Lytechinus pictus: one gene and its partners. The protein of the gene in region 3 purifies or fractionates together with the protein of the main gene of each other region. This does not show direct contact. Links are inferred from orthologs where the notes say so. Each region holds a gene or a part of one and is shown on either strand. Other genes may lie near its edges. The genes, in order: cyclin-dependent kinase 9-like, RNA N6-adenosine-methyltransferase mettl16-like and probable RNA methyltransferase Y17G7B.18.

Region 1 (10,820 bases), on a different chromosome or scaffold from region 3:
TACATATTAATTTGTCAATCGATAATAATTCTGTCATTTTCAATTATCTTCAGTCATAAACTGGTTTCATGTTCTATACCTTTTCAAACTTCATGGTTTTTGTTTTATTACTGATTTTTACCATTTACCACCTAATCGACCGTCTAAAATTGAAAATATTCCCAAACAAACATACATGTACAATGCCTAGATTTTTGTTGTTGCTTTTTTACAGTTAAGTGCTCCTCTCATTGGCTAATCCTAAGCCCTATAACACAAAGCTAAAAATTGAGTGTAAAGTTGATTTGTACACAGAGTGCACATGATGATCAATGCAATGAATGATACTATCAATTACTCGGTTTTGTGTACATCTACCACTGTCAATATTGAACAGATATCCACATGTTGGTATGATGGTATATCAAACTGTATTCACAAGAAAAAAGGTTTGATTGAGATCAATAATAATAAAAGATTTTACTTTTAACTTACCCCTTCTTTTTCATTCTCCATCAGTACCTTCTTCAATGCAACAATGTTTTTATTCTTCTTATGCTTTGCTTTGAACACCTCGCTGGAAGGAAGGGAGAAAAATTGTTAATATGTTATTTTATTTCAATCTCAATGAGGTTATGAATAATTTGCTAAACTGCATTTGTTTGAATCTTTACCAATCTGACAATATTCAGCTGAAATTGAGGGATATTGGGTTTTTGTGTAGAGTGAGACATAACCTTATGCCACCTAAGATTGAAATCATTTTTTAAAATCACTATGATTAAGCTTTAGTCATTTGGAAGACAATGTCCCGGCTCCCAATGCAAGAAACAGTTAGGATCAGAAATGAGCAGTATAGACAGTGATAGTGCATGGAATTTGAAATAGTGGGCTGGTTCAATGCGTTGCTGCCAATATCACTAACCATACATGTATGTGTCTATGGCACGGCAGAAGACTTGAATGTGGTAGCCTACATGTATAATCAAAGGCGGAGGCTGCAGTTATTGTCTTTGCTGTTATGCTGAACGCAAGCAATACGCAGGGGCCGCGGAACGGTTTTCAAAGTGAGGGGGGGGGGGGGCTGACCATGCAAAAAATCACAATCATATGGTCATTTTTACGTTTTTGTACCCTAACCCCCCCCCCCACTTCCGCTGCCCCTGATCCGTCTGCAACGTTCTCGCTACCACGCGTCACGGTGGGCGGGCGCCGACTACCCTGAAAATTTTCAGGGCAAAGCCGCCAACCGTGAACGTCCCCGACAACCTGGACAACTACTGTAAAACAAGCCTAGAACTACACCAAAAACTGAATAATATATACTGGGGGTATAAAAAAAAAATTTGGTTTTCAGATCCTAAAATAAACATGTCAATTATTTTGTCCATGTTTTCTTCTCGGGATTTCTTCTACCATACGACCTCAACTCGAGGCCCAAAACTCTCTTTTGTAGGAGGCGCGAAGATGTTTACCTCGCATTTGTGTATCGCATTGCTCACATTTACGTCTTAAAAATGGTAGTAAATACGCTCAAAAATAAAATGAGGGGAGAAGGCCAAGGGTACCGTCGGTTACTTGTTTGGGCAATGTAATTTAGATGTTACGGATTTCAGTTGATATAAAAGTAAAGTGTCAAAAATGATATCAAAATTTAATCGAAATTTAATTTCATCCATTCCCAGCCTGAGTACATGAATGCTTTTCTGATGACACTGCCGTAGAGCGAATTGATAAAATTATTCAAAGATCACATCAATAATGACAAAGACAAAGGAATGGATTGATGAAATGTCCAACTCATTTACTTACAGCAAAATGATTTATTCATATTTATATCTTTTGAAAGTGTTAGTTAATTTCACGACGGTGTGTCTCCCAAGTTCTGTCTCACTCGACACATGACATGCCACACATCAGCTACAGTACAGAAATGTATTTGCCAGCGTTACATTGTATAGCTGGCAAATGTTAATAATAATAATAATAATAATCCGTTTTTATATAGCGCTTAATACATCGGAACGACGTGTCTAAGCGCTTTACAGATATATTATTACCCCGGTCATCGGATTCAATCAGTCATTCCCGCACACAATGTGTGCACATCCTCCACTCCCTGGGGAGTATTCCAGTCAGTCGCCGGTGAGGCGCACACAGTACTGGACAAGCTACAATGACTTTCACATCCTACCGGGTACCCATTTAGCACCTGGGTCGAGAGTGGCAAAGTGTGGATTAACGCCTTGCCAAAGGACGCCAGACCGCGGTGGGATTCGAACACACGACCCTCTGTTTGCAAGGTGAGAGTCAGAACCACTACACCACGGCTCCTCCACTGTTGTTTATACGGCAATAAGTGGTGAACACTAATTGTTCTCCGGCATGCGTGACGGAATTATTCAATTCCGTTGCGTCGAAGGTGTTTCATTTGAATATGAAAAGAGGGGATGCGAGATAAGGGTGTGGTGTTGTAGGGGAAGTCATTCTAGCTTTCCAAGGACCGCACACTAGCACGTTTTTTAATATGGAGTTCTTTTTATAGAGTGAATTAAAAAATGATAATTGGTAGGAGACGTTGTTGCATCAAAGTTTAAATTGCGGTGGCCATACGGTTTTTTCAGAGTTTAGTGCTGATTCAGTTTTATATCTGTTTTTTTAAACCCGGGCATAATTAGGGTTAGGGCATAACAGTTTAATTAGTTATGACTTCACATGATTAATGTTAAGAGGTATAAAAACATTATATATGTATGATTCTCAGACAGAATTTATTAGAAGTTGTTTTCATACTTTGAAAAATGAAAGTGTTGATAATTTATGTGAAATAAATGCCGTATCTACGTGCTAGTAGCTCGGCAGGCTATATCCCAAAATAGTGTATATTTTGTTATTTTGTCAGAGTGACATCTGGATGTGATGGTTGCTATGGGTGATATTATGTGGTAAACGATGTTAGGATGAACTACAAATCGCACATGGCATCAAAATCCTTGATTAGAGTCTTCCAAAATTAGATGGGGTCCAAAACTAATTTAATTTGAATTATTATTTTTTTTCCAGATATTCATTGAATCTATTATAATTTCCCTAAGTAATGATTTTATTTATATTATTCATACTATTTATCATATTACGACTCATTTTTAATGTGAGTTATATACGTTCGGTACAGTGTATTTTCATTTGTATTGTTCTTTATTGCTCTTTGCCCGCCAATTAGATAATGAACGCGCATGTCACTGTCCCAAGAAATGTTTTTAGTCATCACAGTGAATACTTTATGAATTTGTTGTACATGTGCTTAACAATTACGATTTAAAATAAAATATTATTTGAAATTAATCTGTGTAAAGGAGAAAGAGAGAATATGAGGGTCGTCATGGGCAATGTAAATGGAAATGATGGGATGTTTGTGGGGGAGGGGATTGGCGAAAAGAAGTCAATGTTCGGAGTGAATGAAATTAATATTCATTTATGGATGTGTCTGCTGTGATTGTGGCTGAATAATCTTCATGACAATTGGGAAATCCACCTTGGGTCTGGAGGGGTACGTGATTTAATAGATTTAGAAGTACACATTCAACATAATAACAATACTTTGTTAAACATATTTCTGATAGAGTGGAATTAACAATTTATTCATAGATATTCATTTCAAGTATAAATTATTGAAGTTTATATGTTTGAACGTTTTAGAGGATATGTATTTCGTTTGTTCACGCCCACATGAGTTGCTAGTATAATTTGAATATCGTTGGATGAATTGTTTGATTTCACCTATGTCTTTACAGGTTTATAGGCAAGGGGCTACGCATACGGTCCGTAGATCAACGTAGTTGGTCATTGACATAAGAAGCAACATGCATTCACAAAATTAATCGCACTTTCTAAGGATGTAGAGATCTAGACATTGGAAAGTATGGAGTAAATTTATCAATATTATCGATGTGAATAAATCTATAAACTGTTAGTATAAAATGAGATTGACTTTAATTCCTTTCCTTTGACATTTTTTTAATTGATATATCAGTAGTGCCTTAATTTTCTGCTTCAATCACAATTCGCGCAACCGTTACGGCTGTGGGGCCAAAGAAGCATTAAATAGACATAAAAAAACTCATTAGGTCAACATAGATTTTGTTAACGCACATTACATATTCTGAAAACCATAATTCATAAAATGACTGTTCGCGCAAATTTAGTTGCATAAAATTACATCACCGTATCCAGATGCCGTATCGTGGGATACGATGAATTTTCATGAGCTGATGACGTCACAAATCAGTTTTTTTTCTTTGCGTTTGCTTATCCTTGAAAATATTTTGCTAAAAGCAATTTTAAAATGATTCGTAAACATTTTTTTTACCTTTCAGCACAACTGCACATGCCAAGCATTAAAAACTCTTATTTTAAGAAGTTATCATGTTTTTATGCTGTAACTCTCATTCAAATACTTCACCTGACTTTGACATTCCACGGCAGGTTCATTTCACTTTTGTCTAGGGGTGGCCATTTAATTATTTTTATCACATGTCATTGCAGTTGTCAGTGCAAAGACTTTTAAAGATTTTTAATCTGTCGGCCTCTAGAAATTTGGAATGCGTCCGTTTTTTTCGACTTCATTCAGCAAATGAGCATGGAAATATGACTCCTGAAATCCTTTAAAATCAGAAACATCGTTCATGACTCAGGTAAGCAAAGTATCATATTCGAAATTCATTCATCACAGATTAATAATGTAAAAAAAAAAAATAAGGCCAGATTTCATTTTTTAATGCATCTTTTTTGTACATTCTAATCATGTCATGACCGATGACTCATGAATGCTGAAACTGAAAGAATTAAGAAACACAACTATTCCCGATGACATCATAACGCGCGTGCATGATCATGATGATTTATTTTTATTTTTTGTAAGATAGTAAGTGCAGCACCCACAGTGGAATCCCTACATTTAGCCAGGACCATCATGGCTAGATCTGTTGAAGGAAAGTATTTAATCTGGGGCCAGGGGGTGAAAATTTCAGTTTTTTCGCGGTACATGCACATGATGAATGGGACGCAATCCCTGGCCTAGTAAGTGGAGAGTAAGCACACATTAGTGAATGATTTTTACTATCTAGCCTAGGTCTAGGACTAGGAGCCTCCTGGCTACACACACGAGAGAAGAGAGGTGATTAAGTCGAAGCAAATTTCACGATAAGGCCACTAGTGACTAGTCACACAAATGGCTGCGATGCTGTCAAATTTGGTGATTTTTCTCTTGTGCAATATGAATTACCGCAACACGAAATCGTGATATTCTCCATCCAATACATGTGCAAAAGACATGCTCTGTTGTGGTCCAAGGTTTGCATGTTGCGCTACAGTTCTATTTCGGTAACTTACCCAAATGTTCCCTGGCCTATCTTTGCTAATTTTTCATATTTAGTGACTTCTTCACAATATTTGAATTCCATGGATTCTCCCCCTTTTTGATACGGGGCCATTGCCATCTTGTATCCTTGATTAGCTGACGATTGACCGGGTGGTCCAGAAAACGTCGACGCTTTGCTTTCAGCCATTTTCACATTTTCGTTGAAATGAAAGAAGCGAGTACTCGAGAGCTAGTACAGTGCAGTGCATGCAGTGCATGCATGGGATCGGAATCGATATTAATTTCAAGGCTTTCGATTTAAAATATGAAACTATAGTTGTTAAGAATTCAAAGACTTCAAAGAACAACTGAAATTCATGACGCTTTTCATTTCTTTTGAAAATGATTTAAGTATCTATTTTAATGATGTCGTTTGGAAATAGAGAAACAAATCTAGTGAATTTTTTTTTTTAAAATTAGGGTCTGGGATTTTTCTGTCATTCGTGTTCAACCAATCAAAATACTCGTATCGGACACACCTCCAAACCTGTATCCTGTATCTGTGTGGACTGTGGTGGCTGTGGCTGTGCTGTGGGGAAAACCAAGGACATTAAAAGTGTTTTTAAGTCAATAACTACATTTTTTTTGCTGACCGGATATCTTAAGGTGAGTATAAATTAATATGGAATTTTTGCATGTTGTGGAAGTTCATTTCTTTTTATTGAGAGCTTCTTAAACTTTGTTTGCCTTGAGCTGCCTCACCTCACATGCCTCAGTTGTTGTGAATGTGAGTTGACACTGAGTCTGACACTGACAGGCAATACATATGGTGCCGTGGTCCCCTAACTTAAGTTACCCAGGGGCCGATTGCACGAAAGGGTCTTTCCAAGGACCGTCTTTCGTGTCGCCCATCTTTTATGATGCGCTGTAAGCGGGGTGTTTCTGAAATTTATGATAAACAAATAAAATTCGTAAGCTTGCTTTTAAATCAAATTTTATACAAAATGAGATATCACATCATTTTATTAACAAATATTTTGTTTATTTTAACGGACAAATAAAATATATTTGCAGATAATTTATTTGAAATGCGTTTTACATGGCGTATCATAAAAGATGGGCGACACGAAAGACGGTCCTTGGAAAGACCCTTTTGTGCAATCGGCCCCAGGGAGCCCAGGCCAGGGGCCTGTTTCACGATGAGCTTGGGCCTGTTGCATGACGAGATGAGCGATACATAGGAACGTCCTAGCTAGGACCATTCTTCCGAGATAGGAAGATTGGCGACAAATCAGCGCTTTCCGGGTCATGAAGGCAATTTTGTCTTCCAAGTCCGCGACATCGTTTGAAATTGATACTAACAGTTATACTTATTATACTATCAGAAAAATATTTAGTCTTCATCATCACCTGAACCTTTTATTTCGGAATGACGACTTTTCATAAAACCATATATTTCAATAAATGGAGATCAAATAATGTTTTATTTATTACTGATTGTAGAATTGATCATTGATGTATGGAGCTTACTTTATTTATAAATGAGGTAAAAAGAGAAAAATAATTTTTTTAAAGATTCACTAACAAACTGGATAAAATCGAGATTTTCATTATTTCCCTTTAATAAATGGATTTGTTTAGAACACAATGTCCTTTTAGTCTTTAGAGACACCTTTCATTGATATTTTAACGAAAGAGACCCTTGTCCGACATAAAAATTGAATTGACTAAGTAATTTCGACATAGTATTATTTGTTCAATAATCTGTATTTTCATAGAATACTTATTTATAATGATAATTTTGCAAATTATGCATTAAATGTTATTTGTTGAGGTAAAATAAGGGTTTGAATGGAGTAAACAAAGTCAATGTGTCTGATTGTATGAGACTAAAAAGGAAAATATGAGAGACTGCATGTAAAAAATCTAATTTATTTATTTCATTTGTCAGATATAACGCAAGAAATACATGTGAGTGTTTAGAGTAGTATAAACATACCAAGACAAGCAAAATATGAAAATTGGTGCAAACATGTCCAAGTGGGTAAAGTAGTGCTTTGCAATAATAAAACATAGAAAAATGTGTGAAATCAATCCGCAATGGAAAAAATACTATTTACAGAAACAATGCTAAAAATGACAACGATCATAAACGTTTGTCATATTTAAGTTGACAACTTTATGGAAGTTTATATAAGAATATAAACTTTAAGAAAATAAAAAATATAGATATGTATGTTCAACCGATTTTGATTAAACTTTTTTTAAATCGTTCCTCTCATTTTACTCTTTCCCATAAGATTGCTTCTCTTCTTGGGTTTTGGTTTCCTTTAATTAAAAAAAAAAGGGATGGGGAAAAGACGGAGGGAGAATAATAAAAAAACATATAAAATTATTTGGGCCTATTACCCCGGAGAAGTTAAAATGACATCCGTTGATGACAACTAGCCCCCATATAAAAAATAACTTGGCGCCATCCCAGATAAAATGCATCAGAGTGCAATCGAATGACCCCCCCCCAAAAAAATGTTTAAAGGTGATATGTCAGTGTGGCTTGCCGTAAACGCATTTTCTCTCAATGCCGACGGTGGCGGGCGGTGTGCAAAGAAGATCATGTCTGAAGGTGTCTTTCCAAGGACCATTCTTCCTTGCCCAAATCGGCTTTGTGAAACAGTTGAGCGATATCTCGTTCTTAATACGTAGAGCGGTTCTACCAAAGACCATTTCATGAAACAGGCCCCAGGACTCGTCCGTGTAATATTAGGCAGAGGGTACTCTATAAACTGGGGTAGAATGGGTAGCAATAGCACCCCAAATAAAAGAGGAAAAGTTAATTATGCACTTACCTTGATTATATGGATGAAAGTCTATCGTGACACAGAATCCCAACATCGAGGCACAAACTGGACCCTCAAAAAAAGGAAAAGTTCTGTCTCGTTCGTTCTCCTTTCCAATCTCATCAGCTTTGATGTTTAGTCATTGTTCACGAGTGTACCAGTTAAGGATGCTTGCGCCATCATCCTTGAGAGATTGAAATTTGACAGAACTCTCCCTGACAGGACACAATTGTCTCCCCTAGAGATCCATGACCTGCTTGAGATGTGCCTCAATTCCCTGGGGGGGGGGGGGCAGTCAAATATATTGCTGTACACACGCGTGACCACCCCCTAAACAAGTTTTTCTCTGTGTGCAAAATAGCCCCTTAAACAAGTTTTTTGCAGGCTTTATTTACACATCTTGGCCCCTTAACAAGTTATCGCCAAAATATGACCTCGGGGGAAAAAGCTTGGAAAAAAAAAATACCCTAAACAAGTTTGGCTAGTCTTAAAAAAAAAAGCTTTGGGAAAAAACATACCCTAAATACGTTTGACCCCGCGAATGACCATTGACCAGTCTTTCAAAACCACCCTTTTTCCTGAAAATCTGTGTTTTTGATATTCTTAACGAGTCCACGCGCGGACCGCGTCAAAAACCGAAAGAATACCCCTTTAAACGCGTTTTTTTTGTCATGCGTGTGTACAGCAATATATTTGACTGGCCCCCCGGGCTCAATTCCACCTCTTTCAGATGGAGAGATACATTCTACAGGCAAACAGAGGGGGCTGCCATGGGTTTTTCCTTGTCCCCAGTAGTAGCCAAAATGTTCATGGAACATTTCGAGGACACGGCTCTCCAATCACAAACCCAAAGTGTGGCTTAGATATGTGGCTGACACTTTTGTGGTTTGGCACTATGGAGCTGAGGAAACTAGCAATACAATTTCTTCAGCACCTCAACTCTTAACATGAGTGTATCAAGTTCACCATGGAAATGGAAAATGAGGGGTCTATATCCTTTCTTGATACAAAGATTACGAGGACGGCACAGGGATCCCTATCCCATCAGGTTTATGGCAAACCTACTCACATTGATCGGTACTAGAACTATCGTTCATTCCACCATCCATCAGTGCTGAGATCCATCAACAAGACGTTGGTCAAACGAGCCCATGAGGTTAGTGACCAGATCCACCCGAGAGGTGAACTTGAGCACATCAAACTGTTCTGAAATGTAACAACTACCCCTCACATAAGATCTGCACTGAGCTTCCCCCCTCGCGGAACCGGAGCAGCCTCTCACAAGATTCAGTGGATTTTGAGAGAAGCCGACATTGAGGTTCGTCATAGTTCCTCAAATTCTATCTGCTTCTATCTGCCCTCACTACCCACAAGGACAAGCACAACTCCAAGGACCTCCCTGGAGTTTACCAAATTTCTTGTGAATGCGGTAAAGTTTACATCGGCGAGATGGGTCGTTCCTTTAACACTTGGATTAAAGGAACCTACATGCAAGGCCCATGGTAGGAGAGACGAGAGGGACAAGTCTGCAATCATCGATCATGCTCACACGCATGATCACCGGATTCTCTGGGATGAGAGTAGACTGGTCACCCATGTCCCCTAGTGGCCATCAGCAGAGAGTCAGAGAAGCGTTGGAGATTGAGGAACATAACACTGTTCCTCAAGACAGCAGCCTCCAACTCAGCAATATCTGGCTTACTGTTCTAGACAAAGAGGCTAATTAGTCTAATTAGCCTGCCGGGACGTTCCACACACGTGTGAGCATTGCAGTGTACAGGCGGAAGTGGTGGCTTTTGTCATTCATGCTAATCTTAGCAGGAATGATAATTGACGGCATTTCCGGTCGTCGCTGGTTTTGCGCGTCCAATTTTGTGTGTTGTCACCCACGTCTGCATATGTGGATGTCATGTGACTTATATCTAGCCAATCAGAGACAAGTACCCTGCTAGGTACCGTGCACACGGCACTTTGACAGAGTATATATAAGGCCTGCTTTTACAAACTATGCTCATTCTCCTGAAGATGACAAGAACACACTTGAAACGTCAAGATTGGGTGGTCCTTTTCAGGACCAACACTTGCCCAAGAAACCTTCAGAAATTACATAATTCAATAATTGTAATCTTTTCTAATTTTGTCCTCTATATTATTTTCTCACACTTTGAACTAAAAATTAATGAAATTTTTTTCCAAATGGCTGTTTAAAAATCGATCATTGTCCAGACACACAACCTGTCCGGACACACAACAACTGGGTTTACATGATCCTTGGGTAATACCACATATGAGATCTAGGGGTCAAAAGGTCAAATGATATGAGGTCATGTCCATCTCTTTTTGATTTTTTTTGTTCAACTTGCTCTCATTTCTTTATTTTTTCATCAATTGTGATCACACTTGGTTCAAATGATCCTTGGGTAATACAACATCCATGTGTTGTTGAGGATGATGGGTCAAGGGTCTTCTAAAATATATAATTTTTATAGATATCACAAGGACCAACTTGACTGAACCGTGAAATGTTAAAACAATGGTTAATCCATACAGTTGAGGCCAAAAGTTTACATACACCCATGGAATTTAGTGAAAATTGTTTGCTTGCCAAACATCGTAAAATTTACTATATCTTCAGAAATATAGAT
Region 2 (10,820 bases), on a different chromosome or scaffold from region 3:
AAACTCAGTATGTGTCACATTCTGGACCTGTAGGAGGGAATGAAAATTGAAAATCATTTATATGTCCTTTTGCTCAGGAAAGTATTTAATTTTCAAGTTTAATTATTAATCTTTGTAACAAGGCAAACAGGAGCTGATAAATGAACTTCGGAATCAGCTCTATTTCAACATAAGAATGGAATGGACATTGGCTTCCCATCCTCCTCCTTTGAGTCCATCTCTTCCCCTCCCCCTTATTCTACTACTCCTCTTTCTCCTCCCACTGGTCTAATTTATGTTTCTGATTCTTTTCCTAGTATAGGCCTATCTACCTATTCATCCTCCTCTTCCTCCTTCTATCCCCTTCTCTTATTCAAAGTGCCTCTTTAGCACTTAAAGACTTTAGTCTGGAGTAAAAACATGTATGGCATCACTAACATCTTTATGAAATGGCCCATTGAAGGATTGCTTACCAATTAATCAAAATGTGTATATCATAGAAACAATCTCACCTTGTGTTTTCTAAGCTCCTCTCTGACAAGAGCCAGGCTGGATTTTTTCCCCAGCATCGATGTGTACCACCTAATGAAAAAGAAACAAGAGACATCATATATCATTATTATTTCATACCCATTCAAACTAATGTATTCTGTGAAATATTAACTGTAACTAACTGAAATAATTGAGTATGTTTTGATGGAACTAAGTTTTCCCTTTAAAATTCATAATGTATAAAGGGTTATTAGCTATATATGGATTGAGAGATCATGAAGGAATTTTGAAAATCTCAAAAACATGTTGAATTCAGCAGATAAAGTGAAAATGTAATGTTTGAAATACAACTATTTATATAAGTATATGAATGATGAAAAATAACAAAAGTCCCACATTGGATATTAGAAAAAAATATACTCAAGTTGCCCTTTTCACCATGTATCATTTTATTTTATGATGTGCTGATACACTGCTGCACAATGCAAAAAAATACAAGATCAACAGTCATGACCAACAATGATGACAGACATAGATCTAGATCAGTTGCATCAATTGCATGTTCAGTCAAACCTGTAAACAAGAACCATCTGTCTATAAAGACCACAGATATTATTTCCCTTTACTAATTTTTCAAATTCTCAACATGTATCCATACAGACGACATGCTCATTAGATTGTTTTTCTTGTCTCCTGGGATAGTCTTAATACACATCCTTTTACTCTAATTTGAAAGCACACTTGGTGACTTACACAACTTGATGCCTAAGACGAAGACTCTCTTCGATCATCCTACGGACAAATTCTACCTCCCCTCCTTCCGAGATCATCTCCAGTTCGGCAGCAGTGCTCACTGACTTGGGCTCAGGTCGACTCATGCTGCGAGATGTCATAATTCCTTGCGCTTCCAGAGAATTGCCAAAGAAGGGTGGGTTGCACATCGTGAAGTGGTAGAGATGCTGTCTGGAGGGGGCGCTGTTCAATACATCTTCAAACATACTGCCTTCACATGTCTCCACAACTGTAGAAGCAAAAGAAATAGTCAAGTTGACATTGTGGCATCTTGACAATCAGCTATGACTACATTTTGACAGACTTAATGATAAAAAATCAGGTTAAAAATATCACCTGTAATTACAGTTTGGATTCAGGACTTACATACATAGTTGCTTGTCAGCATAAGACCGCATTTTCAAGAGCTTTTCAAGCAATACTTCACTGATTTAAGTAATGTCAGACAACATTACAAAGTCAAAAAATCTTCATAATCATATGTACTGATTGATACAGGTATCTTAAGGAAACCCCAGAAACAATGAGGATGTTTTATCTGCTTAAATGAACATCGAAACCCCTCCCATCCAACATGTGACTATCTTCAGGGCAACCAAGAAACCATACTAACACATGGTAGACAAGTCACATTTCTATAATCTTTTATATGATGAAAACACTGTGGTATGTTTTAAATGTTGTCCAATGATGAATTGGGGTGGGGAGGGGAGCCATGGTTCTTGGAAAACTTCCAAGGCAATTTGGAATTTGTGTTCAAATATAAATTTGTTGCCCTTTGGGTAAGGTGATCTCTAGGGAGACACTGAGGGAACTTGTTTCCATCAAGGGAGATGCTTTCTATGAAAATGTTCAATGGGCAATTTTATCTCAGGGGGAGTAACATATGACACCTTTCCACTCATAGTAAAGACTTGATTAGGTAGTTGGATCTCCTTAAAAAAAAAACAGACAATCAGAGGATAAATGAATGATCTATTATTACCTGTTATTTTATCCTGAAGTCCATTACTTGTGATGTTCTCCTTAGAATAATGAATAGCCAAGGCATCTACCTCTGATGCAATGAAGTTCCATCCGTTCAACTGAGCACCAAGTAATGGATATATACACGATGCACCACAACCTGGAATATTAAAAAAAAAACAATGATATCAGGCATTCTGTAGAGGTATACAGCTTTCATTACGTTAGGATTAATCTACTTCTACTCTTCAAATTGGCAACATTTTTCTTTCACTATACTTTTTAAAGAAAGAAATAGAGATATAACACAAGGAAAAATGAGTGATAATGGCAGAATTTCAAAAGTTGCCAATTTTCCATTTTTGAAGTGATTTTATTGTTTTCTTCACGTTGTAAATTCAGAGTGTGAACTGATTAAAATAAATTCATTTTACAGAAGAAAATGCAGAAGCATTGGTCAATCTAATCTAAGATGCAAGCTTTGATAATAATTGTTTTTACGCTGTACAACTGCATCAGACCAATTCATAACCATACAGAACAAAGTGTCTGTACATAACACAACGATGTAACATTGTGGGCAGATAAATTCAAGCAATAAAATTTAACAGCATCAGACAGTCAGGTACAGGTGGATCAACCATTTTGTATAAGACCTATATCAAATGGGTTTGTTTTAGCCAGTGGCCAAATTGTGATCAACTTAAATTTAAATGGCTTGCAATTGCTCCTGGAGATCATAAGTTGTTTGTCGAATTTCTTTTATAACATTGTACATCACTCCATAATAACTAGCAAGTAGCATTTTAGTAGTAGTAGTAATTTTATCCATACTGCATTATATAACAGCATTTACAAAGCAAAGGGCAACCAAATTTTAATTATAAAGAAGAAATAAAGAAAATACAGGAAATCAGGAAATGTTTTTAGGACTTTCTTCGAGTGATCTGTAAAGTTCATTGATTTGACGAAAGAGGGGATGTTCTTCTATTCTTTAGATGCGGTTACAGTAAATAAGTGATCGCCAGTGAGTCTTTGGAATGGCAAGCGAAAATGTGGGTGAGATGACTATCACCTGATTATTCATAGCGAAATAAAAGTTTGAGAAGATTCTCACCAATGTCAATGCCCCACACCGTCCCTTTGCTGTGGCCAGTCGATGCTAAGAGATCCTCTATCCAGTGAATGTAGTTGAGCCGTAGTGACAGGGTCGGGATGAGACGATCAAGAGGTAGCTCAACCTCTAGTCCAAAGTCTTCCTTCAGGAGCGTGCAGGTTAGTGACCTCAGCGACTCAGAATCATGGAAGTCAAGGGTCGCCTTGCCTGTTTGGTTCCTGATCACATGACGTGCAAACTCTGGATATTTCTTTGCTAATTCATCAAAGTTTGGTTTGTTGTCCCTATAGCGGTTGCGAGGGTGCATGAATTTGTTGAAGGCCATTATGCCTAACGTTAGATGTCTAGATCTAGATCTAAAAAAAATAAATAAAGGAAACACACGATAACAGGTATCAGAGTTGAGTTGGTACTGTAATAATAAAAAAAACATGCTTTAAAATGCATTTTGAAAAAAAAACTGTGTTACGCTTTTAGTTTGGTGGGGTAGACCTAAATATCTTGAATTATAATCCAGTATTATCCAACATTTTTTTTAATCTTTAAAAAAGTGTTTTGAATTTAACCGACACTTTTTTTTCTAAAAAAAGTGGCTGATTCTTTGTGAAAATTTTTGTTTGTTTAAAAATAACATCACTTATCTTACAAATTTATAGTTTGGAATAGACTACAAACATTTATTCTGAAATTTTCAGCCCATTCCAAGCATCTATTGTTGATTTAAGTTAGTTAGGCTAATAATGTCACCATTTTGGCGATAAAGCTATTTTTATAAATCCAGCCCACACACACAGTTAATTTTTAGGCATGCTTCACATGATAAAGGCCTAGTTACTAGTCAGATCTATGGCTATGCATTGCATGTATCATTTCAGTGCATAATACTAGGCATAGGCCATAGTAGACAGCTGGCAGCCGTCTGTTTCGAGGAGTTTTTTAACATTTTTTTTTTTTTTTTTTTCTCCTCATACACAGACGGCTCGCTAGCGTGCAGCCACCATTAGGGGACTTGCAATGCAAAATCCCCCCGTCGGGGCTCTTCAATTTTTGTCTTTAATGAGTAAAAATTTTGAAAATTCACGCGACCAAAATGCAAATTAATATTCCCTCTTGGCATCAATTGCCAAAAAACTGAGAAAAATCAAGTTAAAAGGAACAAAAACAGTGACTTACCTCGGCTGTCGCGCAAATTCACTTCCCCGTTTTATCCGATCTTAAGTACATAAACATATGGCCATTGAGTCCCCTGTACAGATCGCGCTAGAACTTCGGTCTCTGTATTTGGTTAGTGAAGCCCGGGGGGGCCACTTACATTGACGAGTGGATACCATGCGCGACCAAAAAAACACGTAAAAAGGATGTCTTTTTCACGATAGGGCACGTTACGTACGTAACGTGATAAGGGTGTCAAAAACGCAATAATAATGAAAAAAGGGTATCTATTTCGCTAGGACAATTACGTGTTTAGGGTCGAATTTGCGGGGATGATAAAACAAAATTAAAATGTTTTATAAAGGATGTCCTTTTGGCCCCAACACTTCGTGTTTAGAGTCCGATTTGCGCGAGGTGTAGAAGGTGGGGTCGTACTAAACCAAATGAGGTAAAGCTGACGACCGAAGGACCCGTAACAATAAAACATTCCTGTACTTGTTTAGGGGTTCATTTCAGGGAATATTTGCCATGATCTCGTTTTGTTTCCAATACTTGTTAAGGGTAGGGTTTCACACGCCAATACTTGTTAAGGGGTGCATTTTCAGATTATGGAAATTACGTGTTTAGGGTGCTTTTTGAGACCCCATGGTCGCGCATGGTATCCACTCGTGAATGGAAGTGGCCCCCCTGGGTAGTGAAGCCAACGGAGTTCAGCTGAACAACCAACATAACAGAGACCGAAGCTTTTTAGTGAAGCCAACGGAGTTCAGCTGAACAACCAACATAACAGAGACCGAAGCTTTTGGTCTAAGGCCATAGCGGGTGCACATGCATATCTTATCAATACCGCGGCCGCGCCGCCGTGCCCGTGGCTGGCTAAAAATCGGCATTCATGTCCAAGGTAAATAAACGTCCTCAAATTTAGCAGTAATAACCGGTCACTTCAAAATACAAGAACACGCAAATTATCGGTAATATACACGTTTAGACGATACCTGATAGTGCTTTGAATAATGAGACAGCTTAAGTAATACTGAAAAATAATGGTATTAATACAATATCATTCTATAGATCAATAAAAATGCAATAAGAAACAGCCCAAATTACTGTTGATTTCCGAGTAGTTGCTGCTGCAGACGACGAAGAGACTTAGAAACTGCGCACAAGTTTTCTGCGCATGATATTGCAGACAAGTATCGAAAGGGATTCTGGGTAATTTTTCAACGTGTAGCAAATATATGTGAGTCGGAAATACAGCAACAATATGCGTTGCGAGAAAAATACTTCGAACCAACGGACGAATACCGGTTTATATACTTGATGTTTGGTTGTTAAGTTCTTTATTTTTCGGTGAGCGTTCTATTTTCATTGGAAATCTATAGAATTCGATTCTACATCTAAATAGTTCGCAATTTGGTTGTGTGCTAGGATATGTGTGAAGGAGAAGGTGTAACGTTAGTGCTGGGCAAATGTGCATTCCCATTCCGTAGGCGTTGACATTTGTTGTGCATATTCTGGCCAATGCATGCAGTGCAGTGCATGAGCTGAGTTGAGTGAGAGTGACGTGAGTGAGTGCAGAGACAGAGTTAGAAGGGAGCGCAACATTGCAAGCCAGGCCCAGTAGCAGTGCAGTCATGGAAGTGGTAGCTTCTGCAGTTCTTTACAACTACTGTAAAACTAAAAGTGGAAATTTTTGCGGCAAGATGAAGATCGGCGAGCACGAATTTATGAGCATCTAATCTATTTTAATGCAAGTTTTGAACCGCGGTTCAATTGTGTGTATCGTTTTGGCAAAGAGATTGCACAATTTGATTTTGACCTAGGCCCTATAACTTGTTAGATCTTGTATAGAGGGCGACATTTAAGCAAGTAAGCTTGAGCTCCAAAATCGATCACAAATAAAAAGACATGCACGCCATTGCGAGAATTTGTTCCAAAGCATTGAGATAATTTTTTCAATAGTCGCAGATCAGTATTTAAATTATGATTTTGGAATTTGGTTGAAATATAAATTGCTTTTGCTGTGCGAGATTGGTGAGTGTTAAGATCTGTTTAGTTTTTAAGAAGACGTTGGGTCGATCACCCAGGTTTGTTGATTGAACCCATGCACTTTGAATAGCCGTAATCCCCCTGGTCCTTTATATTATAGGTGCTCGGCCGTCCATACCAGGCCAGCAGTGCCTCCGTTTTGCCTTCCCCGAGTCCACCCTGCAAAGAAATGTTGCGCTAAATGTCACAAAAGCTCATGATTGGATCAAAACAATGCTGAATTACGCCGCTTTAGAGCTAGAATTATGATCAGAATATACAATTTCGTCGCTGAAATGTTAATTAAAACCATTTACAGATGGGGAAGAAGGAAGTGACTTTGGATTATGGAGAGTGCAGCGCAAATTCAAGAACTTGCGAATATTTTTTGAAGCCGCCAAGCGTGAAAAATTAATTCGCGAAAATAAGAGCGTTTACAGTACAGAAGGGTTAAGGTCCAATGACTAAATGGGCCAGGCCTGCTAGCTAGATCTAGTCTAGTCTTGAGGACTCCATGATGATGTTTTTTTTAAATATTTTGACATATTCATCATGGAGTCTTGAATCCCCATCCATATAAGAGACACATGTACACAAAGATGGATTTCCCAAGGAAATCCATAGTTAGAGGGTGAAATCGGTTTGTATTGTCCAATTTTATTTATGAACCTTCAGGCGCCTAATGCGTATAAAGGGATAAAAATTATTTCACTATAAATGGTAAAAATGAGATGTTTCTTACCAGACCCGATCTCCCGTGGATCCCTCGATCCGTTTGTCAACAAAGCAAAGACAATAGACTTGACCCTTGAACCGCTTCGTGATGACGTACTTCCGACTAGCGATGCCGTCTTGAAGAACAATTTATAGATAAAAATTATTATTTCACAAATACTAAAATTTAATACGTGATTATAAATAATAAGTAGCATCTAGGGAAAGTGATTTCTGTGTAAAAAAATTGCCTTTTCCTTTTCAGAAAATCTTAAAATCCGTTTCAGCATGTTTGAAAAATGGAAATTCCGTTGGAGTAGCAATGTCACAGTACTCGGGCTGGTCAGAATTTGTATCCGCCACTAACAACGCTTTGGAATCCACTCTAATCTGATCTATACAAACACAAAACAATTTTAAGAAACACATTTAATATGAATACATCCTAACCTTTCACATTATTAGCATTATTTAAGGGTTGAATGAAATTTTATTGATAATGTGGGGATTTTTGGACATCGTTTTGAGCAGTCGACGACTATTGCCTATCTGCCATTTTGTATTTGAGGAGTACCACGTTCGTGCTGTTACATCACCGAACTAGAGGGTAGCAACACGAACGTGTGTTGCTGCCTACTACGTACGTTGGTTATAATCAAACAATGTTTGGTCGCTTATTTCAGCTTGGGCTTGCGTTTGACCCGCTTGTACAATGTATTTTTGATGTATGATCAAGTGATGGAGTCAAGTGCAGTCACGATGTGTGGATTGTCATGATTGTAGCGAAGTGAGATCGTGTTTTGTGGCCAGTTAGTATTTGTATTTTGTTGAGATTTTGGAGTAATTTCTGTTGCTGTTCTATGCATTTTGAGTAAAGATATGTTTTCTGTGATTTTCAATTTGAAAAGCCACTTTCCGTTTCAAAAGGCAATTTTCAAAAAATCACTGTCCCTTGTAGCATGATCACAGATTTAAGTACAGCACGTCCCCCCAAAAAATGTCCCTCTGACATAGGGCTGAAGTAATTCCAAAATGTAGTATTTTTAATCAAAGGTACATGAGTAGAAAGCTTATTTCATAATCTAACTTCTTGAAAATGTCATTGGTCTCGCTTCAGCGGTTTTGAATACATACACTGTTACACAACAGTAGTGCATTTCAGGCCATTCCAAGTTTGCAACACTGCTGTATTTCTGCATTGTCTTTAACATGTTAACCTCCACTTAAATACTATCCAGGATTTGAGCAGGGACATTTTCCTGATCAATCCTGGCTCATCAAATCATAAACTTGAGCATGTGCAGAAGGGTAATAACCATCAAAAAAGAAGTTTTTATGATTGATAGGCGATCAGTGCACCAACTTGAAGGAAATTGTGAATATTGGATAATCATGGATGGATATGAATGACGGATAATTACAATAAGCTGAACTATGATGAAGAGCAAACCACAAGTGTATCACACCTTGTGAAAGCGAACATTACTTGTGAAAATATTTTTTTTTTTAATTCAAAAAGGTACAGTGAATTCATTGTTTTAATGATAAAAAAGAATTAAATCAAGAATGCATTATTGTTGGAATTAGGCATGAAATACATTATCAAACACAATTAATTGTCAAGTACTCTTGTCGCCCTTCTTAACCTGCACAAGGTTGTAATTTGATGAGCCTGGCTAGATCATGGAGATTTCCTGGTCAGCTCAGGGAATTCCCTGATCAGATTCTGAATGATCAAAGGGGGTTGATATGCTAGGCAGTGCAGAACCAGCAGTGGTAGCAGTGCTGTATGTATGCGAACTTGGAATGGGCTGAAAAGCACCATTGTTACATAATAGACTGTGTATTCAAAACTGCTGAAGCGAGATATACATGTAGAAGTAAGGACTTGAGATGAGTTTCCTATTACCATACATTTGATTTGAATAATTTTCAATTTTTAATTAATTCAGCCGTATATAATCAGAGGGACATTTTTGGGGACACGCTGTATGGTTATCCCTACGATGATTTAGAATTTTACGCAGTAAGATGTTCTGTATGCCTCAATATTGGCATTAAATTTTATCGGGTCGCAGACGACACACAAATTCATAGGATGGAAAAAAATGTTTCACAAGAGGGTTTAGGTTACCCATAGGGTAATCATTTTATTGAAAATTATATATTGGGGTTCTACCTGTAGTGCTAGGCTAAATATTTTATTTTTATTTTTTACCCACAGGTTGAAGTGAGATGGAACGGAGGTAGGGTATGTGGAAGAAGCTATCGAGTGGTTATCGTGGAATAATAGACTGAAATTCTCAAGACTTATTCAAAAGGAAGAGGAAAATAAAGAGTGGATTTCCAATCAAGATCACTCTGATGGTTTTATAGAGGAGGAGTAGGAGGAGGACTTGATTCTCACAGTGAGCTGCTTATAGCAGCCTTCGACCACAGAGTCACCATGGTGCTCTCACAAAGACAGAGAGAAGAGCTGTAAGTATCATGAGAAGAAGAGATAGACTTTATTTTTGAACAAGGGCCTTCTTTTCCTACTTTAATTCCGTATAAATCACCTTTTGTATTGATATCAATGTTACATGTAAATTGCTTTTTAGGCCTGGGACTAAAACCCGGGTCCCACCCGGAAGCGTCGGGTACCCGGGTAGAAAAATTAATACACGATACCCAAAAATTGCTTAGCAGTATAACGTACCTGTATTTGATTTGTATTGCGTAGTGTAAGACACGTTACCCCTTCCGTCTGGACGTGGACGTTACTCTTAGCGACATCCAAATTAGGCAATTGCATAATTGAAAAATGTTATTTGAGTATCCCTTTATATAACAACAAATATCTAAGCTTACAAATATCCCTGATATTTGATCAAATATCAGTACCTAAAAGACAGAAACATAGAATTTTGTGCAGCAAAGACAATTAGCATGTCTGCGGTTGAGAGTTTGAGACCTTACGGTGCCAATGAAGGAACAAATTATCAAATAAAAAGAAAAGGAAATTTCTCGGCTTTACAAGAATGTGACTGTTTTTCGGCTCGTTTAAACTATAAAAGAATATTTTCACGGCAGTTTCTTCACTTTTTATATTTAGATCTAAATGACCTTTTCAATGAACAAAAATATTGTGGTTTAATAGTGTTAGATTAGCGTCTAGCCAATTATGGGGTCATTCCACCAGTCATATTTCATGCGACATGATTTTTGGGTACCTGGGTACCCGCCAGAAAATTACAGCTGGTACCCGAAGACAAAAATACCCGAAAGTCCCAGGCCTATTGCTGTTGTTATGTTAGACATCAGGGGAGTGTTTCATCAACATTTTCATCCGACAAGTTGTAAGATCTAACATCTTTCTCTGATGTTGATTGGCTGAGAGGTGCTGTTACTATGGTAACTGTCGGATAAAACGTCCGACAAGTCCTTTCATGAAACGCCCCCCAGGAGAGCGTTTTGTGAAAGGACTTGTCGGATGGAACGTCCGACATGTCCTATTTTATCCGACAGTTACCACAGTAAATGCTTCTCAGCCAATCAAATTCAAATAAAATTGTCAAATCTGAGAACTTGTTTGAGAAAT
Region 3 (10,820 bases):
TCACGCACTATTCAGTTGTCAATCCATTAATATTAAATAGTTCTTGGAGGAAATAATTTTAATAAACCTAATTTCATACAATAAAATACAAAAGAACAAGTGAGGATATGACGTCAATTCAAAACTTTAAATGACGTCAATGCACAACTTTAAAATGCCATAATTTTGTTATTCTTTGTCCAATTTTGATCAAATTTTCAGTGTTTTGTTCATCTAATTTTTCTATATCTGTTCGAATCATATTACTTTCAGCCTGGACTACCCCTTTAAAATTAATAATGTAAATTATAGCTGCAATTTTCACACATTGGTTTTGTTCTAGCTGAATTTTCAAGTCTACAGTGTATGTGCACTTCTGTACATAATCATCATTACTGCACATGAAAGCAATTTTATTACTAGAATCCTGCAAATAAAAATTTATAACACACATGAAGTTTTTTTTTAAATCACCAAAATATTGACTCATACAATGACAAAACAGGGATAATACAAGGATCTTAAAACAGAAGACTTCAAAATGAACTCCGAAACTCTCAATGATTTCTGGAGAGTTTTTATCTGTCAGACATCTCAGGAAATCTTGGAGAGAAATGATTGCATACCATGATAACATTGTCCCCTTCAGACAGGAGGTGGTTTCAGACCGCCTCGAAGTTCGTCAGCTCCAGGTATTTTCTGATCGGGAAATTTACCCCGATCAGAAAATACCAGGTATTTTGGTAATGTGAAAGCAAACTACGCGTAATTTCCCCGAAAGAAAATACCCGCTAAATAGTAGGTACTTGGCGAAATTACGAGAACTTTCGCGGGGATTTTTCCAAGGTCGCAGGTATTTTGGCAATGTGAAAGCAATTTACGGGAACTTTTAGCCCAGCGTGTCGTTGGGCGCGGGCGCCGTGGGTGGCTGCTGGGCTAGTGGTTTTGAATCTCGCACCTTGCCTGCTTATTAGACCATACTGCGCATGCTCCTAACTTCAGGAATTTATCCCAAAGGGTATGTTTCGGGGCGGTGTGAATGCAGGAATAATTAATGGGTATTTTTTAGCCTAAAAATGTTCTTGTAATTTAACGGGGATTCTTGTGATCGAGGCGGTTTGAAACCACCTAATGTTACATTCATGAAACCTTCTCAACAGGTAAAAAACCTTTGGGATTTGCTTGAGGGAGGGGTGGAGTTACTTAGTTTCAGGCACAGACCTAGGATGCAGTCATTACAATATGTAGGTTCTTTCAGACAGACTCAAAACCAAGAATACCAGACTTCTCTGATCAAGAAATTTACTCTTCTACTTGAGTACATGTACATGTATGTACCTTCATGACAAAATACCAGGTATAATTTACTTGTTTATACTTGTAATATTCAAAAAAAAAAAATAATAACCTGCTCAATATAGGTAATATACTTGTAAAAATTACATTGGATGATCAGTAGAATGCTGTCAACCATGTAACAAATGCTTTTGCGAATTTGAGAATTGTGTTTTGAATCAAAATATCACTGCTCTATTTTCTCAATTATACAATATTCACTTATTTTCTTTCAAAATTTTGTCATTTTAAAATGAGTATGAGTCAGAGTGCACATACATAGTAGTGAGGCAATTTCCAATGGGACTGTGCATGTTTTGAACAAAATGATTGTTTTTCATTGTACTTGAATTCCATCCCATAATGCATTGCAACTGAGAAATTTAAAGGCAAATGAAATGTATTGGTGATACAACTTCAAAATTAAAAGCAGTCTTACTTTCAAACTACTAGCGAACTGTGGTAATTGTGTGCTGTAGCTGGCACAAGAAAGATAAAGTTGTGAAGTTGTGATGGACTTCTCTCAAAACCAGTACAGTATTGGTAACACTACAGTCTGTGCATTCATTGCATTCATTATGCACACAACACTACCAGCAGCTTCATCACTTTTCATTATTTATCATTACCACCATCATCACCATTGTCATCATCATCATCGTCGTCATCATCATCGTCATCATCGTCATAATCATCATCATCACCATTATCATCATCACCACCACCATCATCAACATCATTATCATCATCTTCATACATTCACCACTGGCAGATCCACTGGCGGATTGTAATGTAAAAAATGCCGTTAAAATACAACTGTGCCCCCCCCCCCCTTTTTTTTTAAGTGAGGACCTTCTTTTTTTGCTTTTTAAATTTTTTCGTGGACGAAATTTACGTAATTTTTGGTTGAAAACCTAAATTTTTTTTAATGCTTGTCAATTTTTTGCCCCCCTCCCCCATTTAGGAAAATCCTGGATCCGCCCCTGAAATTCACAATCATCAACTGTATCACCATCATCAGTTCATTGATGTAAATATGAAAGGTATTCTGTTGACTTTCAGTAGTATAATAATCAAAATTTACCAATCAATCTTTATTAAAGGTCAAGTCCACCCAAAAAATTGTCAATTTGAATCAATAAAGAAAAATCAAACAAGCATGACGCTGAAAATTTAATCAAAATTGGATGTATATGAAAGTTATGACATTTTTAAGTTTTGCTTTATATTTTTCACAAAACAGTTATGCACAACTCATTGATATGCAAATGAGAGTTGATGATGACCTTCACTATTTTCATTTTTTTTAATTTAACATTTCAACTTTTACAGATATGACAATAAGGACCAACTAGACTTAACCATAAACCATTAAAAAAATGGCAATTCCACATGTTCAGGGAGGAATACAATTTTGTGACAATGAGGAGAAAATAATAATTTTTCAGATTTCATATAATAAAATACAACAGAAATAGTGAGTGGGTGAAGTCATCAGTCTGCTCATTTGTATACCGACCAGGATGTGCATATGTATATAAATTGTGAATTAAGTGAAACTTTAAATTTTTTAAAATGTCATAAGTTTCTTATTTTACATCTTATTTTTATGAATTTTCAATGTTATGCTTGTTGGATTTTCTCCTTTTATTCAAATAAACTTTTTTGGGGTGGACTTTTCCTTTAAGTTTAAATTAACCAAATCCTCTTTTGACTCAATGGTTTTGGTTTAATTTACCACTATTATACATGTACAGTATATATACTCACACATCTAAACAAGACATTTCCTGGAAACAATGATTTTTCTCTTTCAGCTGGTGATGAAGTGGATGCAGCCGGTGCCAAAGGTCCATACGTCTTCTGCAGGGAAACTGGAAAGTTCACACGTCCTTTGCCTTTCTTCTCCCTGAACAGTTCTTCAAGGCAGTGCTTCACATTCTTCCTGGCAACTCCAATCAAGTTTCCATCAATGTCTACACCAACAATACTTGATGGATCGAACAGTTTCGCAACGGCTAGTGTCACATGACCAGAGTTACATCCGATGTCTAAACACTTTTTGCCTTCAAACCATTCACGTTTGAAGAGGTCTATGCGATTGTCATCACTGTTTGGCGTACGGTAACCATAGTAACGTGCATAGTTGCCGTACTGGAATTTCTTGTCCTGTTCTCTGAATTTAGGCAGGTGCTTAGATGTTTTCGAATCATGACTTTGCTGTCTCCTAAACTTGTTGACTACCTCTGGAGACTTTCGCGACCTTTTTAGTTCTGGTTCACTGCTCTTTGCTTTTGGCTGTGGCTGTGGCAGTAAATCATCAATAAGCAGAGCTTTCGCCAGTCTTGAACTAGGCTCTGTCCGACTAGCTTTCCTTTTGCGTCCTCTCGAGTCTGGAAGAACTGGAGAAACAATTTTGTTTGCGAGTTTTGTGGTTTTACTATTTTGCAACTCGAGCCACAATGGCCTGGTACAAGAGCTTTCCCCATCTCTATCAGAATTTCCCACTGATTCAATGCTATCACGCTTTGCGTCACCGCTATTGTGGTATTTCTTCTTCTTTCCTGATTTTCTGGACACCAGAGTTTTGGTGAGCGGAGAGTTTTCTTCGTTGTCATCAGCTGTATTCAATTTCAGAGGATCTTTGAAATCTTGCGGAACAATGATTGGATCAGGGTCCTTATTAATTTGAGGAAGAGGTGAACAAGCTGGAGTGACTGCATTCGCAATTTTGGAAATCTCTTCGTCATCGAGACTGTTCAAATTTAAAGGATCGGTGATAGAACCTCCAAGAAGAAATTTTGGTTTCGATCCATTTCTTTCATACGTTTTTCTTCTCCTCTTGATTTGCCCAGCTGACTTTGATGTGCTGTGATGTCGCTTGCGACCAGCTCCCGCGGCTCCTCCAACACCACCGCCGGTGACCAGCGTGTGTGACGGGAGAGTTCGTGCAGTCAGACTCCCAACATGTTCGGTGGCCATGGTCGCGCTCTCTACCACGACCGCCAGCCCACAACTTGTTCCTCCTATTCTAGCATTTTTCAGTGTTCCTGGCACATAAATACTAGCACTGCTACTCGAAAATGGATCACTTCGGGAGCCCGATTCCGGGCTAGCTTCCAATACCTTCGCCGACATGATTTCGTTGGAGACATGAGAGCGGCAGCCGCATCTGCACAACGTTGCACGTGCGATTTGGCGATGTAAACAACTTCACCCTCGCGATTTGCATAAAAAATGTCAATAACATGCAAAGTAGGGTCACGATACTCCAGTCAAATACACGATCGTACGAACTCAGGCCCAAGGTTTCTGCCGAGATTTTACGAATACACAAGGTTGTTTCTCCCAAAATATCACATTCAACGAGGGCCAATGTCATAAATGACAATCCTACTCAGTCAAAGATGGCAAAAATGAAGTACTAACGGTGAAATCTCTGGCGAAATGTCAGATGTTTCAAGAACGTAGCGGCCCGCGATGCTTGCGTAGCAAAACGATAACCGTTTCCGCGCTTGCGCGAAAATGGAATCTTGGGAATGTTTCATTACCTAGTAAACAATCATTCTAAATGATGTAAATAATTTGTGTTGTCTTGCATTTTATCCGTAATATTGTGATTTGAACATGAATTTGAGTCACTGGCAGACAATTACTTGTAAAATTTCTTCAATCTACAATTGCCTGTATACTATGAGCATTATTCCCATTATTCATAAATAGGATCGATGCTGTCGTCTGCTACTTCGCAGAATATGAGGCCACCTCGCGCGCTATACAGGCTCAATCACAGGCCCACGCCACGGCCACTGATACATCATTGTACACATAGTGCATATTATCATGGAGGTGAAGTCATCGAAGGAGGGTGTATGACCCCCATTGGCCTATACAATCAAAAAATGTATTAGAGAAACGTTAAACTGCTTTAAAAAAGATCTCAGCCAGGGTTGGTCGTCGTTTTTTAGGGAAGGATTTGCCAGTCTTTACCCCCCCCCCCCCCCTCCGTCAGAGGCCATGAAGATAAGAGGAGATTGAGAGGAATTGAGCCCGGAATCGAGAGGGCAATATCAGTGCAAAAAGGTTAGCTTCTGACTGACTTTTGTTTTTCTTTTGTTTGTTTTAATTTCGCACTTGTCCTATAACATGCCCCCGCATCAATGCCCATCTCTGATTTCCTTCCTTTTCTCAGCGTTGCTTGTAAGACAAGCACGGATTCAAGCATATGGAAGGGGCACATGATGTGCCGCCCATGGGCGGAAATCCCAGGGGGACGCATCCCCCCTACTCACTATTTCTTTTGTTTTTATTATATGAAATATTCTAAATTTCTCCTCATTGTCCTGTGAAACAAAGTTTTATTTCTCCCTGAACATGTTGAATTACATATTGTTTAATATTTCATGACTCAGTCAAGTAACTCATTGTCAAATCTGTGAAAATTGAAATATTGTATGATTCAAACAATAAAAAGGGAAAAGAAATAGTGAGTGATAGACATCATCGATTCTCTCATTTACATGTGACTAAATTGTGCACATTTTTTTGTGAAAAATAAGCGGAACTTATTTTACATCCGATTTTGATTAAATTTTCAGCATTATTCATTTATGCTTGTCTCATTTTTCTCTAATGATTCAAATCAACAATTTTCTGAGGTGGATTTGACCTTTGACTTTCAAGCTCTGTTAGACGAGTAAATTCGGTGGCGTAATGAGCAAAAAAAATGAGGGGGACTAGATATGGGGCATTGCGTAAAATTTGAAAAAAGTTGCGAGCAAAGTGAGCGAGCAAAATTTCGACATTTTTATTACAGAAATCTAATTTTTTGATAGATTTTGACACTTAGTAAAATTCAGAAAATCTTATATCATATGTCACCCTTCTTTCTTTCCTTTTCTCTTTTTTTTGTCTAGAAAAATTTGGGGGACAAGAGCCCCCAAGCGCCCCCCCCCCCATCTGTACGCCAGTGGGTAAATTATCAGGAGTGTACATATCACATGCGAGTATGAAGCGCAAGCTGAAAATTATTGATATCCTGAATCCGAACAACATAAGGGGCCCGTACTTAAAGGTCAAGTCCACTCTCCAAATTTGAATAAATGTAGAAAATCAAACTAGCATATTGCTGAAAATTTCATCAAAATCGGAGGTAAATTAAATATACAACAAATATATTTCCTCGCACTATGAGTTATTATTGTTTTCTGTAGTGACATATGCTTCTTTTTCATGACTACTTAAAGTGATTGCCCCATTTTAAGGTCTTAATTTAAAACATTTCCTTCCGTGCTTACGTTTGCATTAGTGGTTTGGTGAGATAATGTCTGCTCTCCATGAATTCCTAAAATCAGTCCTTAAATTGTCCCTTTTCTGATCTAAATATAAAAAAATTTCAGCTCGCGCTTCGCGCTCGCATCATTTGGTTAGTGAAATACGTATGGTCTTAGTGAATTCCTACAAACAAGCCTTAGAATGCCCCTCTTCAGGTTTGAATTTACTAAATTTTCAGCTCGCGCTTCGCGCTCGCAATATTTGATCATTATGCGTATGATAATCATGATTACAATGACTACAGAAAGTGCTTCATGTGTTCAGATGTAATTCTAACAATATCAGCAAGCGCTTGTCATTCGCATTAGATGACTATGGTGAGATATATATACTCTTAATGGATTCCTAAAATATAGTCCTTAAATTTTCCTGTTTGGGGTCAATGTATACAAAAATTTCAGCTCGCGCTTCGCGCTTGCACTATTTAAGCAGTGAGATAATATCCGTTTAATTGCACTGTCCTTAAAATGTCTCTATATCAGGTCAGTATACCTGGCAACTTAGCGCGCTTTCGTGCACTCACTAAGTGACTCGAAATTTTGCCGGTGCCCCCCCCCCCCCAATGCCGAGACCCACGGTACGCCACTGTTTGAATTATACAATATTTCATTTTTTTAAAACAAATTTGACAATAAGGACAATTAACTTGACTGAACCATACTAGTATTAAAGTATTGAACAATGCTAATTCCACATGTTCAGGGAGGAATTAATCGTTGTTTCACCTGACAATGAAGAGAAAATTAGAATATTTCATATAATAAAATACAAAAGAAACAGTGAGTGGATAACGTCATCAATCTCCTCATTTGCATACCGACCAGGATGTACATAACTGTTTTGTGAAATTAAGCAAATCTTTATCCCCACCCCCCCCCCCCCCTATTGGCGGAAAAAAGGAGGAAAGAAAGGGGGGAAAGAAAAAGAAGGGAAAAGAGAGGAGAAAAAAGGGGGAAATATAAGAGGATGAAGACGAGTAAATGAAATAAGATGAGGGGAAGAGTTTGAAAGTCCTTCTCCGATGTGCTCATTATTGAACCTCATACATTATTGTGTCTATCCTCTCCTCTATTTTCTCCTCTCCTGTCCGCTTATCCGCCTTCCTACCGGTTATTTGTTTACGGCATCAATCACATTTTTCGTGCATTATATTCTTTCCAGGTTATTTTATATACTTTTCCTCCTTTATACACATCATTGAATCCAGTTTGCTTGAGTCCACGACGGCATGTGTTCTATCTACATACAGCAACACCCATCCATCTTCTCAGGGCATTCTCCCCTTATTTTGTTATTTGTTGTGTTATCTATGTTTTGAGGGGCCCACATTGTACAAGCATTGCTTTTTAGTGGGTCCCTCCATTTCCATCTTAATTTAATTTCTATTGAAAAATAGTATACTTATTTAAAACCTACAATGTGTTGCCCAAATTGTCTAAGTGTTAACATATGTATCATTATTTTCCTTTTTTTTTGCAACGTATACAAATATTTATGTTTATATATGGTATACAATTCATGTATGTACAATTGATGGAAGTGAAATAAATAAATTTGAATTTGAATTTGAATTTGAAAGTTATAAAAAAAAATCTTTCATGTCACTATATAAAATTTTCGCTCGCGCTTCGCGCTCGCATTGCCTTTAGGTGCTCAATTATTAAAATATCGAATTCGGAAGTTAATATACAAAACGTATTTCAGCTTGGAAATCGAAATTTTATTATTTTGTTTGATTTACAAATCGATTTTTTAAAAGTGCTCTGTAAAAATTTCTGTTTCATGCATTGTCAAACAACTTAAAATCCACATTTCATGGCAGTTTATCAAAATTTTCGGCTCGCGATTTGCGTTCGCATTGAATGTTGAAAATAAATTAACTCATGCATCTTATTCATAATTTATGTAATTACAAAAGTTCATTAAATGTCAACAATATTAACGAATTTCGCGCTCTCATTAGGCTTATTAGATTAATATAAATAAGATATTAATTTAGATTCAAATTGTCCCTTTATGGAATATCGACAAGTTTCATCTCGCGCTTAGAAAGAGAATTAGGAAGATATAGTCATAATTTTCATATGATGACATAATTTTCTTAGAATGTCCCGGTCCTATGTCAAAACTCAAAGTAATAAATAATGAAACACATCAGCTCTTTTTTAACTGTGATCCGTATCCATCTCACAATTTTCCTACAAAGTGCTTAAAATACAGAGCTTAAATTGACCCTTTTCAGATTGGAATATCAAATATTTGCGCTCGCGCTTTGCGCTCGCTTTATTGATTTTCATGATAAAACAGGCATTTAGAATACCCAGATTCTAGGGCTCGGTGTAAAAATGGCAGAGGTAAAAATGGCAAAGGTAAAAATGGCAGAGGTAATAATGGCAAAGGTAAAAATGGCAGAGGTAAAAATGGCAGAGGTAAAAATGGCAAAGGTAAAAATGGCAGAGGTAAAAATGGCAAAGGTAAAAATGGCAGAGGTAAAAATGGCAAAGGTAAAAATGGCAGAGGTAAAAATGGCAAAGGTAAAAATGGCACAGGAAAAAATGGCACAGGTAAAAACGATAGAGGTATAAATGGTCAGTTTTAAACCCCCATGCCAAAAAACCCAAAAGCCCCTCCATGTACAGTAGATTAAATATGAAAGGTTCTGAGAAGAAATTTGGAATTATAATGTTTGACTAATGGAAAGAGTAACATTTTCAAATTATGCTGTAGATCTTCTGCACCAAATTGATAACACTTGAGTTGGTATTTCTTATTTTTTCTTGGACTTACATGCACGGTCTTCTCATGTCAAATCGCTCTTCTAATATTCAAATTTGAAGCACACTTTGGATCCCAAGTATTATACTATTATTCATTACAGGGGAAATTCACACTGACATAAAGATTATTGTAGAAATAGCAGAAAATAATTAAAATGATACTGGTGGGGGTTTTAGGGAATCCATCAAAGATTTAAAAAGCTGTTAGAATTTTACATTTTAACGGTGACGTCATTTGCGAGCAGTTTTTCCCGCATATGGTGTAATAAAAAATATCAATGAAATGTCAATTTCTAAAAAAAAAACTGAAAATGGCTTTTATTGTAACATACAAATCATTTCACATCCGCACCTGAAAGATTTTTTTTAGCAATCATGAACCACTGATTAAAATATTGAAAAGTATACATTTTGGTGCATTAAATACGGGGCAGCTGCTAGTATATGACGTCACAGATCATAAAAACTCAAACTTCTAATAACTATATCTTAATCTTTGATGGGCTTGCCGCAAACTTTCACCAATATATTTTTCTGCTCATTTTACAGTAAACCATTTGTCAGGGTGAATTTCCCCTTCAAAACAGGTCGATAGAATGGTACCTAAGAAACACCTAAAAATTCAAATCCCTGATTCGCTACACATTTCAAAATTAATGCGGTAACCGTTACCATAGAAACTAGGTTAGGAACCTGACATCCACTTGGACTAGGTGCAATGAGGTATTGCTCTGAAAAACTGAACACTAGTTGCTATTATTATATCATTTACATTAAACTATATACGTATCATATCAATATCTATTCGGATCCATTATGATGTTGAAATATGAAAAATTGCTTTTCTTGCAGAACGTTTTGTTATTTTTCTGTTATCCAAGTTATGCCAGTGGTTCAAAGAAATCCCGAACTTGTCTATTTCAGTGTGTTAATGGTAGCGCACATTGGTCTTTACATTAAAATTTGTTGGTTATGTATGGGATGAAGTGCTGTTCTACTATACGAACTGGCCAAGATAAATACTTTCATCAATAATAATATTCTGCATTTATATAGCGCTTAATACATCGGAACGACGTCTCTAAGCGCTTTATACAGTATTACCCCGGTCATCGGATCCTTGCATGCCCGCATACAATGTATGCACCTTCTCCACTCCCTGGGGAGCATTCCAATAAGAGTTCCAAGACTCAATTGCTAGGCATACTACATATAGGCTTTCACATCCTACCGGGTACCCATTTAACACCCGGGTGGAGAGTGGCAAAGTGTGGATTAACGCCTTGCCAAAGGACGCTATAGGCCATTGTGGGATTCGAACACACGACCCTCGGCGAGAGTCAGAATCATATCAACGATAAAGTATAGACCTAGAATGATGACAGAAAAATCCAT

The links.
Region 1: the proteins of probable RNA methyltransferase Y17G7B.18 (region 3) and cyclin-dependent kinase 9-like purify together in Homo sapiens (affinity purification with mass spectrometry; 10 studies listed by BioGRID and IntAct, counting the BioPlex papers as one, with this or other methods). This does not show direct contact. The link is inferred for Lytechinus pictus from reciprocal best matches to the Homo sapiens genes MEPCE and CDK9.
Region 2: the proteins of probable RNA methyltransferase Y17G7B.18 (region 3) and RNA N6-adenosine-methyltransferase mettl16-like purify together in Homo sapiens (affinity purification with mass spectrometry; 3 studies listed by BioGRID). This does not show direct contact. The link is inferred for Lytechinus pictus from reciprocal best matches to the Homo sapiens genes MEPCE and METTL16.

What each region holds. Positions count from the first base shown.
Region 1 is NC_087259.1:1,405,273-1,416,092, forward strand, and holds the start of cyclin-dependent kinase 9-like, read right to left. Parts: upstream 5,848-10,820; 5' UTR 5,547-5,847; coding exon 5,371-5,546; intron 5,362-5,370; exon of another isoform or gene 5,083-5,361; intron 5,059-5,082; exon of another isoform or gene 4,933-5,058; intron 557-4,932; coding exon 475-556; intron 1-474. UniProt on the Homo sapiens protein: Protein kinase involved in the regulation of transcription.
Region 2 is NC_087246.1:17,017,146-17,027,965, reverse strand, and holds the start of RNA N6-adenosine-methyltransferase mettl16-like, read right to left. Parts: upstream 5,621-10,820; 5' UTR 5,563-5,620; coding exon 5,555-5,562; exon of another isoform or gene 5,494-5,554; intron 3,703-5,493; coding exon 3,347-3,702; intron 2,390-3,346; coding exon 2,249-2,389; intron 1,493-2,248; coding exon 1,225-1,492; intron 562-1,224; coding exon 492-561; intron 28-491; coding exon 1-27. Other genes in the region: lissencephaly-1 homolog, read left to right, coding at 9,687-9,718. UniProt on the Homo sapiens protein: RNA N6-methyltransferase that methylates adenosine residues at the N(6) position of a subset of RNAs and is involved in S-adenosyl-L-methionine homeostasis by regulating expression of MAT2A transcripts.
Region 3 is NC_087258.1:6,971,940-6,982,759, reverse strand, and holds the start of probable RNA methyltransferase Y17G7B.18, read right to left. Parts: upstream 4,884-10,820; 5' UTR 4,453-4,883; coding exon 3,085-4,452; intron 1-3,084. UniProt on the Homo sapiens protein: S-adenosyl-L-methionine-dependent methyltransferase that adds a methylphosphate cap at the 5'-end of 7SK snRNA (7SK RNA), leading to stabilize it.